Linked DNA regions of Diceros bicornis minor. The protein of the gene in region 2 purifies or fractionates together with the protein of the main gene of each other region. This does not show direct contact. Links are inferred from orthologs where the notes say so. Each region holds a gene or a part of one and is shown on either strand. Other genes may lie near its edges.

Region 1 (11,336 bases), on a different chromosome or scaffold from region 2:
TCAAAAATTAACTGACTGGCCCTGGCTTTGTAAAACTGTAATAGATTGAGAAAAAAAAGTCAATGCAAGCAAATGCTAGTTAAATTACATTTATTATATAAAGAGATGCTATAACTTGATATGAAAAACAAAGCAACTCTAATAGGCATTACAAAGGCAAAGAACATGAACATTCGATTAAAGAGGAAACACACCTACTCAAAAAACACAAATATTTAACCTTATTAATAATTGAGGAAATTATTAGAATGGCATTTCTTGCTTATTCAATGCACAAGGTTAACAGTAATTTCTACTTTTTCTATTTTCTAGATGTACTCAAATGTGCTATTTTTAGTAATAAAAAAGTGAGTCATTAAAAAAACACAGAAAGTATGAAAATTTCTGCCAAGGCAGAAATCACAAAAAGCATTTAATCAATCAACACTCGTATGGGCAATAAGGGTCAGATCTCTGGAAGCCAATTCCTTCTGTCTTGGTTCCTGAGTTTTATTATGGGATTGTCAATAACGAGGTTGTTCCTGACTTACACTATGACAATCTCCCAAGTATAGGGATATACATATATAGGTATGTAAATATATATATGTAAATTTTTCTTCAGGTAGACAATTTATTCCAGGAAAGCTTTTCTTTAGAATCACTACAGAGGACTCCTATGATTCCATTTGCTAAGGTCCCATTAAGATCTCCCCATGTGGTTCTCAACCATTAGAGATGCCCTAGGTATTGAAGAGGCTGAAAATCTCATTTAGTACTGCCTGCAAGACAGCAGTGTCCTAGGCTTTCTGTAGCTGGCTTCTTAGGGAATCTGAAGTTGGTCCTGTCCTTTAGACATAGCCGTAAGGACATTCTTCTGATTTGATGCAGACAAGAGCATATCACCTGCTTGCTCAGATCATAGGCTCGAGGCAGGTCACATAAAGCTCAGGACCCACATGGGGTGGTGCAGCACCACGGCAACCCCACCAGATCAAATAATCACGTTAGGATGACTAAGTTGGGAGACTGAACTTACAATCCTATAGCTTTGTTCAGCACATTTCTTTCTTTGCTTTTTTCATATCATAAGTTTTACCAAAGAAAAAGGTGGAAAATAGCAGAGCCTAAATTTACTGAGCAAAACAATTCTCGGAAACCTAAACTTTGCTAAATAACCTGTATAAAAGCAACTCTACAGAAAATAATATACAAGCAGAAAAAGTAGTAGACATTTCATCTGAAGTAACAATTTAGTCAAATGACAAATTTGGTTGTGAATTTAATATGCTGTAGCCCTTATCTATCTCAATTCAATTATGACTATATAGACATTTATTCTCTGGTACTGAATTCCCATTTAAATAGAAATAGCTGCTATATGAAAGAAAATAATTTAAATTTAAAACCAATTCTACTATAGCTGAAGAGCCAATCAACTTAATAATTATACATGTATATGTGTATGTACATATATACATATGTATGTATGTATATGTGTGTTTGTTTATATTTTCTCTCTCCCTGTCCCTCTCTCCAAAGAGATACTAAACCCTGACTTAGGGCTATGCTGTTTTTTCTAGTTAATATTTCTGAATTTATTGTTTCTCCTGTCTGTCTAAGAAACTTCACATTATCTGAATGCACTCACACAATCTGGTGAGTTGGGAGCTATGGCAAAAACTCTATGAAAAAAGGGAGGTAGCTAATAACGCTTGGTGATCTTTTGTTTATTCTTTTAGGTTAGAGCACACAGCCTCCCTTTGATGTTTTGCGGTCAAAGATGAAAACTTTCAACTTTGAAGCATAATGAACATAATTATACATTTACTACAATCATCTACAATTTGACTTACACAACACCACAAAAAGACATCTAACTTGAACATTTTTCTACATATCTTTTTACATTTGTTAAAACAGTTGGCTATGTTGAATACATTTTCAGAACACATTTGTTAACCATTGATAAACACATTAAGCCAAACAACACAAATAACATCAGTTACCTTTTTATCTAATAACTACCAATCACTGTTAAGAAGATACAGCTGAAGGGGAAAGAGATCATCCATGATGCACTGCAAAGGTATTACACCTTATTCCTAAGAATGATCTGAAGGTGCTGAAAGAGGTGATTCTCTAGAAGGTGACCCAGGGTTTTCTTCAGGTGGAAAAACTGTGAGAGTACAAGCTCGAATGCCACCAAGTGACTCTGGAAGGTCAAAAACTTTATGCCACTCATCCTTTTCTGGGTCATATTTCTGGACAATTTCTACCATACAACGATTATTCCAAGAATATCCACCTATAACATAGATTTTATTTTCAAAGACAGCAACTCCAACATCACTTTGACCTCTTAACATAGCAGCAATTGGTGTCCACTGGTCAAGGGTTGGTGAATAGTATTCACAGCTTAGAACATCATCATAATCACTTGTTCCTCTGAAGTGATTGCCACCAATGACATAGAGCTTGTCTCCAACTGTACACATGCAATGCAGGCCTCTGACTGTAGTCATTGGAGCTTTCTGTGTCCATTTGTCTGTATCTGGGTCAAAACACATGAGCTCATTTTGGAAAGTGTCATGAGTAATTCCTCCTGAAATATACATTAAGCCTCCATACACTGTTCCAGCATGGCCATAGTGGGGTTCACTCATTTTTGCAACATAACTCCACTCATTCATTCTTGGGTTGTAACATTCTACTGTAGCCAGTTCACCAGCTGCACTTCGCCCACCAACAGCATACAAATGTCCTTTGAGGGCACTCAAGTGGAAGAATGTGCGCTTTTCATTTAATGATGCAACCTGCATCCATTTATTATACCGAGGATCAAATCTGAAAACCGTGTCAACAGCAGTTTTTCCTTTTGTATCATAATTACTTTGACCACCAACTACATAAAGAAAGTTTCCAATGACAGCAATGCCATGCTGATAACGAGGAGCATCCATGGGGGCTAAAGATCTCCACTCTTGTGCCCTTTCATCATACATCCGTAATTCTTTACTGACAACCAGCTGCTGTCTCAAAACTCCTCCTAATGTAACCAAGTGTGTCGAGTCAGATCGAATAGCAGTTCTATCTGACTGCATCACTGGTTGCATATATGGCATCATTTGGTAATTGCTAGCTTCCAAAAGCAAATTCACACAGGTATTATCTGTTCTCATGAAATCTACTGTCTGCACATAATTGATGAGGTCCTGTGGTGTCATCAGTGGAAATCGAATATTCTTCATTAATTTTGCAGCATAATCCATCCGAGGGTCTTCCAACCTTAGCCAGCGACAGGCAGCCTTGAAGAGCTCAAGTTCAGTACAGTGCTTAAGACTATTACTGGAAAGCACAAAGGCAAGCCGTTCAAAAGGGAGTTTTAGAAACTCCCCAGTACTCAATAATGCAGGAAAATTCTTCAGGATGAAATTATTGACATATTTATCCACTTCTATAAGATTATAGGTGTTAGCAATTCGCCCAACTTCAACACAGTTATCTAGAGAGACTCCTGAAATAAGAAACACTTTACAGAAGTCCAAAACAGGTAAAATTTGTAAAAAGCTGGCAGCTTCAAGTGTGTCCTGAAGATTGTCCATATTAAGAGAAAGTTTTGCAGTATAAATAAAATCAATTATTTTCTTCAGACCAACCTTGTTCACCCCATGAAGCTTAATGCACATTAAATCTTGTTCTTTCATTCCCCCTGTGAACATAGCCTTGAAATAATCACTAGCAGATGCCATCATAGCTCTGTGAACAGGGAAGATTTCATCTCCATCACCTGGTACCAGGGTCACATCACAAAGCAATCCTTCTATTCTGAGCTGATCAAAGCCTTGCAATACCACGGAACTGTGAGTATTGCTGGTAAAGAAACGCGTGGTTCCTGCTTTGCAAGGCTGTAAATGGGCAGAAACGCCCATCTCGCCGCTACCAAGAGACACTTTCATGTGAAAGCCTTCCTCTTGCACAAAGACGTATGCCGGAGACAGAGGTCACAACCTGAATGCTTTAGGAAACGAGGATGTCCAAAGAGCAGGAGAGCTCGCTTTCCTTAGCAAGGGCAAGCAATCACTGCGGCACCCCTCGGAACACACCAATCAGTCATCCACTGAAAACCGCTCTGGCGCAGGACCACAAAGCGCTGTGGACCTCAAATCTCACTATTATGCAGATGATTCATCACCTGAAGCCAGTTAAGTGACCCGGTTCAGCTGGTCAGGCCTGCGCCGCCGCTCCTCCAGCAGTTCCTCTCCGAGCCGAGGGGAGCGCCGCCACGTACTGTGGCTCCGCGGCTCGCTCGGCGGCGAGGCCGGGCACCTCAGCGAGCGGCCCGCTGCGCCCTCCGCTGTCACGAGAGCGTCGCCGCGGCTACGGGTCTGTCTTGGAGCAAGGGCCTGGAACACGGGCCTGGGCCTGGATCTGGGCCTGGAACACGGGCCTAGACCCAGACGCCGAGCCGGTCCTTCCGGAAAGGCCGAGTCCCAGGATCCCCCGGGCTAGGAGCGGCCGCGGCAGCTACTGCGCCTGCGCGGCCGCCCGACCTGTCAGTGGGCGGGCGTGTGGGGGCTGGGGAGGAAGGGCGCAGGGCTCTGGAAGGGTGAGGATGGGGGTGGGCGCGAGCGGAGCCTCAGCGGGTCGCTTTGTCTGTGGGATTCAATAGGCCCGGAAGGGGTGCCCGTATATTATGCTGCACGTTTGCTGTCAACTCTTCACGGCATCTGAGCTCTCCCCACAAATGCGTACTTTTTCTTTAAGATTTATGCGTACTGGCTTCTGTATTTTGAATAACAATAAAATGCGGCTTTTGTAGAAATTGAAAGGAAATATGGCAGATGACGGCATAAGGGGAAGTTGCATGAAAATTTTCCTCTATTAAAAACTTTATAATTCTTATCCCACACAAAGTAATAGACACCTCAATTGTAACTTTGGTTCATATTTTCAAATTTTTCATTATTTAAAATACATATCATTTGTCTCTCTTAAAATACCAAATTGTGACCATGCTATGTAGATAATATAGCCTGAATTTTTGCCTCTCAGTGGAATTCCAACATCGATAATTTTTTCATACTTTTGTTTTCCACTCACAAATTTTTAAATGAGTACACAATTGTCCAATAACTAAACATACTGTAGTTTTCTTTCCCCATTGTTTGTTCTTGAACAAACATTGTTCAACATACAAGAACATTGTATGTTCTTGAACATACCTTCTTGTCTCCCATTGTTTTATAGAATCTTAATAAACCTATAGAATCTGGGCACAAACCTTTCCCTTGTTTCTCTATAAATCCTAAGGGTAAAATAGTGATTCAAGACATAAAAATTTGTTTCCAAATATTGCCACCAGCAATGTTTGAGTGTGCATTTCCCCTCTACTGATCTTTCCCTTTGTGGATATTTTATTAACTTGTATTTCTTTAATTACCAGTAAATTTAAATTTTGGCACATGAATAAATGTATACTTTGACACAATTTTTTCCAACATTTTTCACAGTTTGAAGTTATTACTGTCTTTTAAATCCTTCCGGTTTCTTTACACATATGCAAACTAATAAGAATATAGCTATATTCTTTTATTACACTCTCTCTATTTTTATATAAAAGATGGCATGCCCCACTCACTGTTCTGCACCTATCTTTTTTCACTTGGAGATCTTCAATGCATAGAGAACTTCTTTATCTTTTTAAGCAGTTGTATTGTTTCCCATTGAATGGGTGTGTCATAAATTATTTAACCAGGCCCCTACTGATGGACAGTTAGCTGGTTCCAATTGTTTTCAGTTGTTTTTGGTGGATAGCAGCAAGGTCCAGAAGGCTCAGACCACTGCTGTCCTCCACCAGATGCTTCAGCAGATCTTCAACCTGTTCAGCATAAAAGGATGGTTGGAATGAGACTGGCCTGGAGAAGTTCTTCCCTGGACTTTATCAGCATTGGGAAGTCCTTGAGACCTGCTTGGTGCAGGAATTGAGGATGGAAGGACTCCATACTGGCCATGAAGAGGTATTTCCAAGGAATCAGTTTCTATATGGAAAAGAAAGAATAGAACTGCTGTACCTGGGAAGTTGTTAGAGCAGGAAATCATGAGATCCTTCTCTTTATTGTCAAGCTTGCAGGGAATGTTAAGAGCTAAGGAACCAGACCTATAATCTTAATGAAACAATTCTTATGGAGAGATACAATTCATCATACTCCCACATGTTTAGTCATTTCAAAAGACTGTTTTTTCTGCCTTCATCATGAAATAAATTGAACAAAGTTTGTCACAACATTTGTTGATAGTATTAAGCAACTATAAGTTAAAGCATCCAGTTCAAAGAGGGCACCAGCCCAACATAGGTGACCCTATTAATGTACTTATGTACTTAACTATTTTGCTATATTTATTGTATTTCAATATTTTTAATAAATCAATGCCAAGACTGATATTGCAACCTCAAGTGAAGTATGGAGGTACAGTTCATTCATTCATTGATTTCATTCAAGCTATATGTAACACTTGAGTATCTAAATTACAGGTTCTATGACTGCCTTCACAGGATAAAAAGGTGATGAAAGAAAAGTGCCAGCCTTCTTGAAACTTTCCTTTTTGCTGGAAGAAAACATAAAAATATTGATCAATTAATTAATTTCAACTACATTATATGCTAACACCATAGGCAAAAGAAAAGTAGCTCCTATCACCAGAAACTGGAGGATGCAGACTCTCAACTTTGACAGTTGGACATACAGTTCTAGAATTTACAGAGGGTCAAGGCTAGAAGTGTTAACTTGGGAGCTGGGGTCTACCTGGTCCCTGAAGGCCAGAGAATGAATGAGTTCTTTTAGAAAGAGAGTAGAGACTAGGAAGATGACCAGAAACTGAACCTTAGGGACCTTCACATTTGAATGCAGGGAAGAGAATGAGGAGCCTGAAAAGGGCGCTGGAATTTAATGGCAGCACAATAGGAGGACAAGCAGGAGAGAATGGTGATGAGAAGATATTTAAGGAAAGAAATGTGTTTAAAAGCCAATGTCTTGTATTCAGGGAAAATGAGGGCTGTTTTGGCAGAATTAATTCCATAGAATCCAGACTGGAGTATATTGACTAAGGTTAAATAAGAGGAAAGGTGTTGGAGACAGAGTGGATAGAAAGTTCTTTTGAGAAGTTTATCTGTAAAGAGAAGAGAAATAGGGTAGGACCTGAAGAAAAAATGTGTGTTAATATTATTGGACCTAATTTTTTTAACCTTTTACAAACATTTTTTTGGGGAGACAGATTTCAAGAAATGGATGTAGTGGCACAAAGCATATAAAATCGATATTTTATTTCTTTTAAATAACTGCTTATTTAATAGGCTAAAATGTCAAGCATCATTGTTCAACTGTTTTAAAATACTAGTGGGCTAGAGAGTTTTTTCTTTTGCTTTGTTTGCTATTTTTAGTTCTCTTTATTTGGGTTTTATTTTATATTAACTACTTTTGTATTGTCCTTATGAATGATGTTTTATATATCTTTAATTCTTAAAAGTAGACATAAACCTTTCTATGCAGATGGCAGCTGTATTCCTATGATGCAACTCTTTGTCAATTTTATGTTGACAAATAACAGCTCATTTTTAAGTATTTTCTCCTGTGCCAGAATGTTGAACATGTAGGACCAGTCCTCTCCCATTCTCATTCCTCTATCGATCTTATGAATGATCAGTTCCCTTTTATATTTTATATCTTTTACATTTATTTCTATATTCTATTAGGATTTTATCTTCATCTATGAGACAAGAATCTAAATTGATTTGTGTCTAGATTGCCAGGTATTTATCCTGTTACCATTTACTGAAACTACTTTTCTTCCTTATTAACATCTAAGATACCCTTAATTCCAAAATTACTTATTACTGATAATACCACAATTTCTGGGATTATTTTCTTTATTACTCTGGTCACCTAACTTTCCTTACTGTCACCATGTTTATATTGTTGCTGTTTTATAAATACAGTTGATTTGTGGTGAAGCTGGTATGTAAGCTGGTATGTAAAGATGGTAAGGCTAGGTATGTAAGAATTTTTCCTGCTCTATTCTTTGATATTATTGCTTGATGATCTTTCCTGATTAACGTTTGAATTGTTCTACAGAGGTCAGCGTTGGCTTTATAAAAATCATGAAATTTTGTGGACTCAGAAATGACCATACTGCAATGAATGTAAAATTTTGAGAAACTTCCTTCATCAAATGGAAAAATGAAATTGGATTGGAGAATTTCTCTTCCACAAAAATCTAAGGGAAAGAGCAAAAATATATTAAAATCATCAGAAAGTACAAATGTAGCCATCAAAAAGAGAAGTACAGTGAAAAAGAGAAATCATAATTCTGCAAGTAATAGATAAAAACAAAACAAAACAGAAACCCAACATGTAACTTAAAGAATCAACCATAACTCACTATGTGGGATTCTGCATGGAACCCACATTCTGCCCAGAGGCAACTCAACTTCCCTGAGTTTCATTTTTCTTAAATGGAATATGGAGTAAAAAATATTTGTAGAGCTGATGTAAGTACATTTTAAAGCATTTAGGATCGTTCCTTCCTCGGAGTTAACATTTAATAAGTGATAGCCATTGTCTTCATTTTCTCCATATAAACCTATATGAGAATATTACATGTCTTTTTCTATAAACTGGTTTGAAATTGTACCATCTCACTCTTGATAGCTGACTGACCAAAGTCAGCTGAATTCTGGCAAGAACCTTGAAGACTGAAAAACAGGTATGCATCATATCAAAGATATGTTTGACCTATATTCAGTCAGCACAGTGGCTTAAATCAATATCTGAAATTGGGAGGAAGCTCCTAGACAGGAATGGGAAAGACATTGTATTCTTTTGCCCATTTTGGCACCTGCACACTTCTACTGGCACCTCTCCCAGCTTTCCTGGATCTATTACTTCCATGTCACAACAGTTTCCTTCTTCTTCAGTGTAGAAGTTACCAGGAACCCTCCTCCTTCACTCCGTTTACTTGCACTGCCCTTTTAATACAACTGCTTCCTGTTCTGTTGTGGTTTCTGGCCTAAAGCTTTCCCAGATGGACATAAGTAGAGAATAATAGTTGAACGATATTTCCAGATTTTGTTGAAACATATGTAAGAGAAGTATCCCTCTTTTATGTTGAATACTTTTGAACAGTGAGGGCAGCCCATGTAGTTCAAAGGAAGCAGAAAGTAGGATCCAGTGACTGTGGGCTAATAAAGCTGTCACAGGAAAAGAGGCCCCTGCTGACCAAGTGTGACAGGGCCAGAGACCAAGTCTGGAGGGCAGGCTTCTGGTCTGCATAGATGTGCTCCTTTCTACCTCCAGAAATTCCTCTGGAATTTTACTCCAGAGCTGATAAGGGGCTCTTTCCTGGCAGGAATTGACCCTAATATTGGCATAAGTCTCTTGCCATCGTCTTCGTTACAAAGAGAACGAGTCTTCATTTTCAGGCAGGGCGTGGCGCCTTTAGGCCAGGGGCAGCTACGGTGAGAGAAAAAGAAGCCAAAATGCGTTTCCTTCCTCCAACCTGCAGAGCAGACTCAGGGCTCCCACTCCACAGACTGTCTGCCAGGTAGGTAGGCAGAGCCTGAAAATCTGAGGGTAAAAACTGCAAAGGTATTTTGAGTACAATCTCATATTTGATGGTACATTAAATTTCTGTTAATAGTAAATTCCCAGTTTCACAAATTCATTTTTTATAACAGATCTCTTGACTTTATAATTAGGGAAATATGCTTATCATAACTTTGCATAAGGATTGCAACATCCCTTTCTCCCTCTGACACAGTAGTCAAAGGGAACAGTCCTACTCCATGTCTGCCTGGAAATTTCCTAATCACCCCCTTGTGAAAAGCCCAGCTAATTATCACATCTTCACTGAACCCTGATTCCTAGGCAGAGTTCTTAACTCACAATGCTGAATGCCTAGAGCCTGCTCCACAGCTGCTTCTAGAGCACTAATTACCCTCTATTAGGATTAAGGGCATGGTCCTGTTCTGTCCTGTCCCTGGAAGATGAGAGTCCCGTGAAGGAGAGGACTTTACCTGATTCATTTCAGAATAATATCAATGAATGGTTCTGACGGCTGTTTCCTGGTGTTCACCGTGATAGCCCCTAATTAAAACACAGAGACCTCTGGTTGTCCTTGCATCAAGTCTGTTTTTGGGTAGATTCCCCAAATTAAAAGAAAAGTATGGTACTGTGAGTGAAACACAGAACCTTGTGATTAGGAGAAAAACATCTAGAAGACATGTATTATAGTGGCTTAAGAATATATTGAGACCATGGAACAGTTGGGAAAATGGGTTTCGGATCACACTAGCTGCATCAGGCGAATGGGTTATCTTTGTCCATGCAGATAAATAATATCTGAAGACTCCTTAGAGGGAGTGTGGACAACTGGTCAGAGAGCTCATTTATCACACTATTCTCACAGCAGAGATGCTAGTTCTACAAAAGTGTAGAAACTGAGGACAGTCTAGACAAGGATGGTCATCTCAGTAAAGGGCTGTGTGGCACCCTGACCTGTCCCCAGTCTGCTCCCGGATGCACTTGGAACCTCTTGTCTCCTGCAGGGACCTGTACCAGTTCTCTTTTGAGGGTACTTTTCTGGGGCAGTTATAGCAACCATGGAAGCAGACATTCTTTTCTGGGGGACATGGGGAAGATTCTGCTCTCTTTGTCATCTTTGGGATCCACTGAGTCATTGCTCACTCTGGCCTTTTTTTACCTGCCCACTGGACCATGCTACCCCCTCACTTTCCCTGTTATCACCACCACCAGTGGGTGCCTCTTTCCCTCCAAATCCCTTTTTATCATTAGATCCCACAATATTCAAGGATCCTTTTTATCCCACCACTTGCCTTTTACCTTCAACCCATGGAGCATGCCAAGATACTTGAACCTACTCCTGACTTTGTCTTTCAACACTAGCTCCTCACTTGACTTACACTTCCCAAGTCCATCTTTCCCCCTTCAGTTACCCATGTTTTAAGGACTAATTCCATGGCCAATGTTGCAAAGCTCCTTGGAAGAAGCCCCCAAGCAGGTCAGAGAGAAGAGGTTATCTCAAGAAATTCAACCTCCAGCCTAGATAGCTCTTTCCCTCAGCCCCTACCTGTGGCAAAAGAAGGCCGGGTGGCCATGAGAGGGGTCCCGTCTAATTCTTCCCATAGGCTTGTAGAATTATCCCCTCAGACTTGGAAGGGTAGCACACAGGACAAGAATCTATCATCCACTCACGAGAGAGAGGACCCTAGGAGACTCTTCGAAGGTGAATATTAAAGAAGGGATGCAGGAATTTGGGTCCTTCCATATTACAGAGATTAG
Region 2 (10,999 bases):
TGAGGCCACGTCCCACATGCAGCAACTAGAAGGATGTGCAACTATGACATGCAACTATCTGCTGGGGCTTTGGGGGAAAAAATGAATAAAATTATAAAAATTAAAAAAAAAAAAAGAAAAATATGACCACCTGTGCATAGAAAACATCTATTAGCATTGTTTGTAGTAGCAATAAATTGGAAACATCCATTAATAGAGAAATATATAGAGTATGGTATAATAGTATATGTAGTAGTTAAAAAGAATGAAGGAAATCATATACTTACTAATAAGGACACACCTCCAAACCATACTGTTAACCAAAAAAAAAAAAAGAAAATTACAGAACATGCACATTTTGATGACACTTATTAAAAAATCTATGAAAACTTAGGGCTTTCTGCAATGATAGAAATGTTCTGGATCTGCACAGTCCAGTTGGGCAGCTGCCAGCCACATGTGACTATTGATCTCTGAAATGTGGCTACTGTGATTGAGAAACTGAATTTAAAATTTTATTTATTTATTTTTTTGTGAGGAAGATTAGCCCTGAGCTAACATCCACTGCCAATCCTCCTCTTTTCGCTGAGGAAGACTGGCCCTGGGCTAACATCCTTGCCCATCTTCCTCTACTTTATGTGTGACACCTGCCACAGCACGGCTTCAAAAGCAGTGCCTAGGTCTGTGCCCAGGATCTGAACCTGCAAACCCCCGGGCCCCTGAAGCAGAGCAGGAACTTAAACCACTACACCACTGGGCCAGCCCCAAATTTTATTTAATTTTAACTACTGTAAATTTAAATAGCCACATGTAGCTAGTGTACTCAACAGGTCAGGTCTAGAAGAACTATCTAAACTGGTAACAGTGGTTAGTTACCTCTGGAGAGGAAACTAGATGGGAGGGTAGGGGTGAACCAAGGCAAATTTTTGCTTTACCTGCATTATTTAAATTTAAAGCAAATAATACTTAATACTTACAAAAAAAATTTTCTCTCCCATTTCTCTCCCAAACTCTCCCTCCTCTGCACACTCTTTTTTACAGCTATGGTAATTTCTGGTACAAAAATGCAGCAATACAATTATAAAGACTATTGACTCATTATCAGGGGAGCAGGCCAAACTTTCTAAGAATGTTTTCCAATGGATTTGTGCCTCTTTATGCAACAACCCTTCTAATACTGTAAAAAAAAAAAAAAAAAAAAAGTCAAAGCTCCTTAAGTCTTCTTTTCTCCAAGCCAAACATCTCCAGTTCTCACCAGAAATAGAGCCGCAACCCTTTCACCATCACATAGCTCTATCATGGCTCAAAACAACAATAACTCAAGGGAGGATATAAACATTTCTTAGAGACTTCTCTTAGCGGCATGACATATGCACCCAGAGTCTCAGCCCAGACTTCCTAAACACCTAGTCATTCCTTCGTTCATAAATATTTACTGAATGCTACTAAATACCAGGCACTGCACTTAGGGGAGGGGACAGAGCAATGAACAAGATCTATTTCGATAGAGCCTCTGTCCTCAAAAAGCTTATCCTTAAAAGTTCTACTTGGATTGGTAAACACTGAAAAACCTCGATTTCAATTCATTCCAAACAATCCAACTCACTTCATGCTGAACCACTAGGACCATGAGACCCACAAGAGAATCTTTATTCAAGCTTCTAATACAAAGAATGGAAATCTACATAACATGTGCAAATACTCTGACACAACAGGGCAAGTCCAACCGGTATTTCTCATATGTTCCTCAGACCAAGTTTTCAAAAGTCCACAGCAAAAATGCGAGAAAGAACAATGTAGCTGATAGAATAAATTTATTCTATAGCAATTCTCTTTATTACGAGATCATGTCCTTCCTCCTTTCTTCTTTTTATATTATAACGTTCTCTACCTCATGAAATAATGATTTAGGTAGAAAGTACCTGGTTTCCGTTTTGGTTTGGTTTTAAACAGTCTTACTTGCCCAATAACAAGACAGCAATCAAACCTCTATACCAAATATTTGTTGATATTTTATTTGTCCATGTCATCCACTGATTTAAAAGACTCAAGGAAGTTCCTTCTGCCCTAAAAATGCACATCCTGAACACACACAGAAACCAATTACTCCGCCAACAAGTACACCTCAATAAGAGTTAAATCATTACCTACTGACACAAGGAAAAATTAAGCTTTCCCATTCTTTTGCTGTATTATTCACAAGAACATTAATATCACAATAAAACAGACCCAAAAATCACAGGATTATAGATAGGCAAAAAGTCTAACCAAACAAAGAAAGTATACTGATGACACTAACAAATGGAATTGATGACAGTTACTTCAATAACAATAAAAGTAGCCAAATTTTTATCTAGGTTATTTTTGGCTAGTCTTAAATATCATCCACATTGAAAAAAGAGGTTTATATTTATTAAGCTCCAGAAAGGTGTGGGGGGGGGTGGGAGTTGGGGGAGATGAGAGAAAATGAGGAAAAATAACTAACTTGTTAATAATAACTTAATACAAACTCTACCACATAATTAAGTTTGTCACTAGCATCAACAAAACTGCAAAATTTACTTGTAGTTCAATGTGAGACAAAGCTCCCACAGGACACTCACCTCTTCTCCACTGGCCCATTCCCCAACAAAAAATACATCTGTTGTTACCTTCTGGTAATCTGTACGCTTTTATGTAAGGGTTAAAATGTAGAAAGGCAATACAACACAGCACAAACAACAGGGTTTTCAAGTCAGGCAAGCCTAAATTCCCTAGTTCAAGATCCAGATCTACCCCCTACTTTCTGTGTGTGACCTTGGACAAGTCATTCAACCTCTTCAAGCTCCACTAGACTGTAAGCTCCATAAGAGCAAAGACAATTTCCGCCTGACTGACTACTGTAGGCACATAGCACTGAAATATCAGTTTCTTCTTGTATAAAGTAAAGATGTTTACGATATTTATCTCACAGTGGTAATTGGAGGATTGAATGAGACATTATGTATATAGAGCTCTGACACAGTGCCTGATCATAGTAAACGCTCAGTAAAAGTTAGCTGTTATTGACATCAACTAGCAACTACCAAACCTCAAAGTACTGTTTGAAGACTTTCAAACACTAATATGTACACAAAATCTTTACCCAGTAAGTAAAAATTGCTCAACTGATGAAAATATTTCACAGAACACCTACGAATAGTTTCTAAACCCCTGGGCTGGGAATCTAATGATAGATGAACTCTGAATTGTGCCTAATAGACCCAAGTTATTAAAAGACATTCAGTAGACTCCAAGTTTTTCTACTTCAAAAAATAGTCCATAAGCATCCTCCCCATTGGCTTTGCAATCTACCCTTCGGACCTCTCTGGCTGTCAGGGAACCCCCTCCTCTGCGCTCAGGGGGAGGAGAGAGAAAATCTCCGAGGTGGGGGGCCGGGGTTGAGGGAAAGCGCGCATCCCTGCGCCACTCGCCCAGACCCACCTTGAGCAGGATGGATGGCGGCAGCTGATTGATGTCTGGGGTTTCAGGGGGCGCCTCCCTATGACAGTCACAGGGGTTTTCGGGGGTCTCCTGACAGTCCGCGTCGCCGCATTCATGCTGCTGCTGGGCAGGCGAGGGGGCGGTGCCCCCCGCTCGGACTGCGTCCCCGCCGGCCTCTGTGGGGGCAACTTCGGAAGTGGGAGAGGAGGGCGGGGGGCAGAGAGGCTGCGGCGGCTGCTCTGGACCCTGGCAGCAGCCGGCGTCGGGGGGCCGCGGCGGCGAGGCGCCTCCTCCGGCGGGTCCTCCCCCGCCGCCGCCACCGCCGCCGCCGCAGCCCCCACCGCCGCAGCGGGGCTGCTTACAGGGGGTGCAGGCGGGGACCCCGGCCCCCTTCCGCTTGCACACCATCTCGGGGGGCGTGGGGGGCTCGGCTGGCGGCGGGGTCGGCCCCCGGAAGAGCTGCACGGCGGCGGGCGGCCCCAGGAAGCGCACGGGCCCCACGCTGGCCAAGAAAAGGCTCCGGCCCTGCTGCTCCCAGGCGGCAGCCGCAGCCAGCCCCAGCTCTTTGCAGCAGGAGGCGGGCGACGAGGCCGAGGCGGCGGCAGCGGCGGCGGCGGCGGCCGAGGAAAGCAGGAAGCGGCGGGCGGCGGCGGCGCAGTCCTCGGCAGCCAGGGCCGCGTAGCACCGCGCCAGGTGCTGTGAGGAGGCAGCCGCGGCGTAGGCCCCGTCCCGCGGCGGCGGCGACAGCGGCGGCTCCTCCTCTGAGCCGGCGGGGGCGGGCGCGCCGGGGCTGTGCACGATGAAGCAGAGCATGCAAGGCCCGCGGAAGAAGCAGTCCCGGCTCCGGGGCGCCGCCGGCTGAGGGGGCGCCTTGGCCGGGGTCCGGCGGGGCAACCTGAGGAGAGGACGGCGGCGGCGGCACCAGCTGCAACAGCGAGGCCTCTTCTGGCTCGGGCGGTTACGCGGCTCCTTCGAGAGAAGGTGGCCCATATAGAAGGCCCCGGGGAGAGGGACCGGGACGGGGAAGTAGGGAGGCCCGGAGAGGCGGGCTCCCGGCAGCGGGGCAGGCCGCTCGCTGGCTCGGCCTCGGGCCCGCGGCGGGGTCGCCCGCCCTGCGCACCCACGGGCACACGCGCGACGGTGGGGGGTGGGCGTCAGATGCGGGCCGCCCCGGCGCCCGACGGGGGCTACATGCTTTGCCCAGGGAAGCCGGGAGAACGATGGGCGCGAGCTTTGGGGACGCGACAGAGGGAGCGAGCCTGCCGCCTAGGCGACCAGTCCGAGCCTGGCCCGCCGGCTCAGTCAGTCAGTGCGGCGGCAGGGGGAACGCGGGGTCCCGCTCGGACCATTTTAACTGCGGCTCCGCCGGCGGCGCGCGCGCCCGCGACACAGCTCGAAACCACAGGAGCGCGCGGCCCGCGCGGGGAGGGGGCGGAGCCGGCGGCGGCGGCGCGCTCGGGGCGGGGGCGCGGGCGCCCGGCTGCTCACCCGGGACAGCCGCTAGGCAGGGACTGCTGGGAAGAAGCGGGCCGGCGAGGGCGCGGGGCTCGCGGGGAGCGGCGCACGCACCTCCCTCCGGTCGCCCAAGGTTTCGCGGAGGCCGCTAGGCCCACGCCCCTTTCGTGGGGCGGGAGGAGACGCTTCCGAGCCAGCTGTGTGACATCCGTTTGCACAGCCGCGCTGACGTCTGTAGGTGTAAGTTCAAGAACTGCCATTGGCCGGGAGCCGCTCGCTCTTCCCCTCAACCCCCACCCCCGGTCTAGGAGACCGAGGCTCCCAAGGAGCCGTAAAGCCGGTTCCGCCGGAAGGCCACCCTGGGTCCCGGCTGCCTCCGGTGGAGTGGCAGATGCGTGGCCTTTGGAGGAGACGGACCTGTGTTCTTACGTGAGGGGCTTATTGGTAGTGCAGCACTGCCGTGTTTCTCCGACTTGTTTTCGTACTTGTTGCTTGTGGCAGACTACTGACTTTTCATAACTTTAGTTCAAAATGAAAGCATATATCAAATTGCCTATACATATCAGAAAAATAAACAGTTTCTCAACCCAGTGAGTCATCCAACATCCCAGGCTACAAGCTGTAGATGACTTTTTCGTCTGCACCCTCGGAATCCCAGCTATCCATCCATCATATATTTCAAGAATGATTGTGCTGTGCCTGCTATAAGATAGACGGTTCTAGGCGGACCTTGGGGACCCAGATGAGAGAGAGCAAATAGGCTTTGGAGACAACCCGTTAGAAGGTTTGACTATGATACCAGAGAGAGAGAGCAATTTAACAAAGCGGTGGCTGGTGTTGAGAGGTTAGCTTTCCCAAGGGAGAAATTGGAAGAGGCTTAAACACAGATGGGAATGAGCCAGTATAAAGGAAAACATAGGGATACGAGAAGAGATGATACAACAAGGCCCCTGAGAAGATGGACTGGTGAGTACCTTACGAGGGCTACCATCTTCTTTGTAATTGGAAGGAATAACGAAAGGACAGATAAACAATGGATACAGATAGATAGATGTTTCTGGCAAGAAAGTGAAAGAGTTTCTTTCAAATGGTCTCTATTTTCCTTTATGTGAAGCCTGGTTACCTGCTGAAGGGTGGAAGGAAAGTGTCAGGTGTTTAAAAAAGCTACTAAAAACTTCAGAGAACTGACTAAGGAAGCACTATTGCAAGATCCAAGGCCTATTGGCTTAGAGACCATTGTTTGAGCCTGTGTGATTTTCCCACCACAGTGGCTAGCATCACCCAGCCTTCACCCAAACACACCAAGGAACCTTTGCTAACAGTGGCTTGTCAGGAATGACTTTTATTTTAGGTCTGCCAACATTCAGGGATCCTTTCTGAGCTTGATCACAGTGAGATGGAATTCCAAGAAACCTAGAGGCAAAGATTTGTCAAATCTTTGTAGAGGTTTTTATACCTGTTACTCCCTATCAAATGCACTGCCCAAACTACATTCATGTACAGATATTATCCACACAGCTTTCATCCCTCTGACTATAAAGGGATCTTCCAGGGCCCCACAGCTCCATAGGTGAGGACAGGAGGTTAGGAGTTATAACCGATCCTTTGGCATCTCTACCAGCCTACACTGTGAGCAAAAGGAGGGGTTCTAAACCTTTTTATTACTTTCTCTATGTCAGAATTGTGGACCCATTAGTTTCATATAAGTTAAACACACACTATGGCCTAGCAATTTCACTTATAGGTATTTATCTAAAAAAATAAAAGCATACATCCACAAAAAGACTTGTTCAAAAATAGCAGCTTTATTCATGATCACCTAAATCTATAAACAGACCAGATGTCCATCAGTAGGAGATTGGATAAATAAACTGGTATACTCATTCGATGGAATACTACTCAGCAATTTTTTTTTTTTTTAAAGACAACAATGTGTAGGAATTTCAAAAAGTGAAGCTGAATCACACTCTGGAGTTGGGGCCCTAGAAGCTCTACCAGATTTTAACAAGCTCACCATGTGATTACTACACAGACAGCCTGGCACCATGCAACCCTATCAGAACTGCACATATAGTATAACTCCAACTTTTTGTTTTCAGAGATGAGGCAAGTGACTCTGAGACTTTTTAAGTGGTTTCCGAAATTCACAGCAGTAGTTCTTAAATCCGATTCCCGAGCCATTCAGCCGCAAGCAGGTGGCTGTTTTTCTCTTTACAACAGCATGTAGCAGAGGATCCTGTATATTTTAGTAATGATTAAGAAAGCTACTCGTGTCGTCAGCAGAGCTGTAATGAGTTTTAGAGCTCATTACCCTAAATAATAATGATAAACATTGTAAATATTCAGGAAACAGAATTATGAATAAAAGTTATAAATTGCAATTTAGAGACAATTATAGCACTTTATGGCTTTGTTAGTGGGAAAAAGAAAAGCAGCCTGATCATCCAGGAGCTGGCCTGGAACTGTTAGCTACTCTTTGGTGTTACCGACGTTCTCAGGTAGGTCTGAGTGTTCTATTTGAACATAAACAGATCTCACAAAACGTCAACGTCAGACATGGCCACTCTGTGACCGTAATAGACAAGACAGAAATAAGACCTCCATAATCATGTCTGAACACAGCAAATGCCAGAACATTCTCCAAACCACAAAAATGACCATTCTGGCTAATATAAGTGACTTCTGTTTCTTGACCAATTACAACCTTAGCCTTGCTCCATTCTTCCTACCTTCTAGATAACAATTATTAAAATATCCAATCATAGAATTACCTCTGCTTCCTGACAGCGTCCAATCTAAACCAAAGCCTTGACTCTTCCCAAAATCACCTAACACAAGCCCAATCCTGTAATAAGTCTTTTACAACACCTTCTTCCTGAGGCTTTCCATAGTTCCTCATGGTGTGCTATCTGCCTCCTTGTGACAAGTCAATAAACCCAACTCGCTTTGATTATGGGTGTGTTCCTGCTGGTCTTTGGCTTCTGGAGTGCATGAACATTTGTTATAATCAAATGTTACCACCCTATCCAAAATTACCCCCTCCTTATGCTGTGCACTGTAAACTTATACAGTGCTGTATGTCAATTATATCTCAATAAAACAAATTACTTCTTCCTTTACCCTTTCCTCTTACCTCATTTTTATTTTCTTTATACCTCATTATCACGTGTTTATTGTCATTCTTTTACTTTATTCAGTCTCTTCCACTAGAATGTAAGCCCATGAGGACAGGGAGTTTGTTCAGTTTTTAGGAACATAATCTGGCAACTGTATAGAAGATGGACTAGAGAAGGACGAGGCTCTTAGCAGGAAAACTAGGTAAGATTGTTCAAAGGGTCAATGGAGAGGCCTTAAAAGCCTGAACTAAGGCAATCATGGTGGGGATAATGAAGTAGGGGTGGGACTGAGAAACATTTGATATGTTTCTCAGGATTCTCAGGATTTAGTAACTTATTTATGAACTCAAGAGGAGGGGGAAATGGATAGTCAGGAATAGCAACTTGTGTATTCATATGACTTATTTCAGCATATAACTTGTGAAATAATGGATTCTGTAATATAAAATATTTTCGTATTTGAATAAAATTCAAACCTGGGGTAGACATGTTACGACGTAGTGACATTCACACTGAAAGCCAGTAAATAAATTTAAAATGTTGAAAAACAGTTTAAAAGAAAACTTTTCTTTCTTCTTTGCCAACACAGAATATACTCACTTTGAAATTCACATTTGCCTATAAAAAGACACTCATGTATAAAAGGCTTTAATGGGGGTCGGCCCCGTGGCTTAGCGGTTAAGTGCGCGGCACTCGGCTGCTGGCGGCCCAGGTTCGGATCCCAGGCGTGCACCAAGGCACCGCTTTTCAGGCCACGCTGTAGCGGCGTCCCGTATAAAGTGGAGAAAGGTGGGCACTCATGTTAGCCGAGGGCCAGTCTTCCTCAGCAAAAAGAGGAGGATTGGTATGGATGTTAGCTCAGGGCTGATCTTACTCACTGGAAAAAAAAAAAAAAGGCTTTAATGGTTGCAGTTGGGTAACGAAGGTGGTTATAAATAGCTAAAACATCCTGTAGCACCAATGATATAAGTAGAGCGCAGTTAACCTGCCATGGCTCCCACTGATTGTAGTAGGTGCAATGGATGGCCTAGGACACTCTCTAGGGTCAGAAGATGTTGGTTTATGCATCCAGAAAGCATGCAACACCCCAGGTGTTCAATAAATTTAATCTCTAATTGAATTGTGTTTTTACCAAAATAGTGAAAGCCAAAGATAATAGAGAAGACAACAAGCTTTCAGAGAGTTCCCTTCAGAAGGCAGATCTGTACTCTTGAATAGTTTGTTTCAGACACAATATAAAAGTTCAGCCGCTGCCTGGAGTATTCTTCCCTCAACTCTTCTAAAGACTGATTCATGCTCATCTTCTAGGTCTCAGCCCAGATATCACCTCCTGTCACAAAAGCTGTTCCCTAGTTACTCTGTCACACCTCCCTGTTCATTTCCTTCACAGCAGTTACCCCTGTCTGCAGTTAGGTGTTTCACTATTAGTTGATTATCACTTCCATCAGAATTAAGCCCTACTTTGTTTACTCTCAAATCACAAACACCTGAAGTCGCTAATCAGTTGAATTTTAAAGCAAGATTATCCCGGGTGAACCCTCTAAAAGAAGGTCTAGAAGTCAGAGTAAAGGAGAAGTCGGAGATTCAAAGCACCAGCAGATGCTTTACCGTTGGCCTTGAAGAAGCAAACGCCCATGTTGTGGAGAGAGCTACGTGGCAGGAAAAGGCAAGTGGCCTCTAGGAACTGAGAGTAGCCCCTGGCTGATGGCCAACAAGAAGGCTGGCCCTCAGTCCTACAGAATTCTGAATTCTGCCAACAAATACATTAGCTTGAAAGAAGACCTCAAACTAGAGAAGGGAGTGCAGCTCTGCTGACATCTTGATTTCAGCCTGGTGAGAATCTGAGCAGAGAATCCAGTGTGCCCCTGCCAGGACTTCTAACATACAGAACTATGAAATAACAAATAGGTGTTTTAAATCACTGCATTTGTTATAATATGTTGTTGCGGGAATAGAAAGTGTATTCAACCACCAAACACAGTCCTGTGGAAACCGAGACTTGATGTAGTTTAACAGGAGAAAGCAAAACAATCGATTACTCTCCAAGGGTTAATTCAAGTTCATGAAAGGAAACAACCAGGAGTTAATACAGAGAATTTGTTATTCTCCCACTTTTATATAAATTAATGGGATAATTGAGGCAAAGGTAGGAGGTTATGTTTTTTTTTCGCTTAAGATTCACTTATATTTTCCTCCACTTAAATGAAATTAATACAACACAAAGATGTTCTACTATTTATATCTCCTCAATTCTGTGCCCAGTTATAGCCTATATTATAATTGATATTTTCTCATTTTCAACTAGTAAAACAGGGCTTTTAGAAAAAAAGAGGTTACATGTGTTTCCCTATCCAATTTCATGTTTTTCCTCCTAAGTTTAGTAACATTTGGGTTTCTTGTTATATAACTTTAAAGTAGTTATGTACTTGCTCACAACAAACAAAGGCCAGATAGTTAAAATTACTTTTAGTGACTCAAAAATGGCAAGCCACAATTCTCCATGTCAACAATTTGTGGTATCAGTATAATAACTAAATGTTGATGCTCCAAAGCTGTTTGCTCCACTCCCAAGTCTGATTACTAGTAGCAGCTTGCCCCTTCCTAACCCCTTTTCTGTATAAAATGGGTTTCATCTCCCATTCTGGAGATAAAATAAGCATACAGGATCCTCAAACTGGAAGGATTGAAAGAGCCGTTCAAGTTACATCTGTAATCCCTCCTGGGACAAGCTGGGGACAGAGGAAGGGTGGCAGAAGCAGTGATGCAGGAGTAACTCTCACCTCTGCTCCGATCCTCTGTCTGATACTGCTGGCTTCATTAATCCCTGGATTATGGGACTTTTTCCCTTAAATTGACCTCCTGAGCCCAGCGATGAGACATTGTTCTTTGCAGCTACTCAGGTACTGGATAATCCTCCCTGGATATAGAAAGGGATGATAAAGCACTTTTTTGTTATTTTTCCTCTCTAAAATTAGAAAGTTAGAATC

What was found. The genes of interacting proteins can lie anywhere in the genome.
Region 1: the proteins of FBXL17 (region 2) and KLHL9 purify together in Homo sapiens (co-immunoprecipitation; 3 studies listed by BioGRID and IntAct, with this or other methods). This does not show direct contact. The link is inferred for Diceros bicornis minor from reciprocal best matches to the Homo sapiens genes FBXL17 and KLHL9.

Annotation. Positions count from the first base shown.
Region 1 is NC_080761.1:43,537,009-43,548,344, forward strand, and holds KLHL9 (kelch-like protein 9), read right to left. Parts: upstream 4,464-11,336; 5' UTR 3,939-4,463; coding exon 2,085-3,938; 3' UTR 74-2,084; downstream 1-73.
Region 2 is NC_080740.1:31,795,088-31,806,086, forward strand, and holds the start of FBXL17 (F-box/LRR-repeat protein 17), read right to left. Parts: upstream 4,493-10,999; 5' UTR 4,432-4,492; coding exon 3,442-4,431; intron 1-3,441. UniProt on the Homo sapiens protein: Substrate-recognition component of the SCF(FBXL17) E3 ubiquitin ligase complex, a key component of a quality control pathway required to ensure functional dimerization of BTB domain-containing proteins (dimerization quality control, DQC).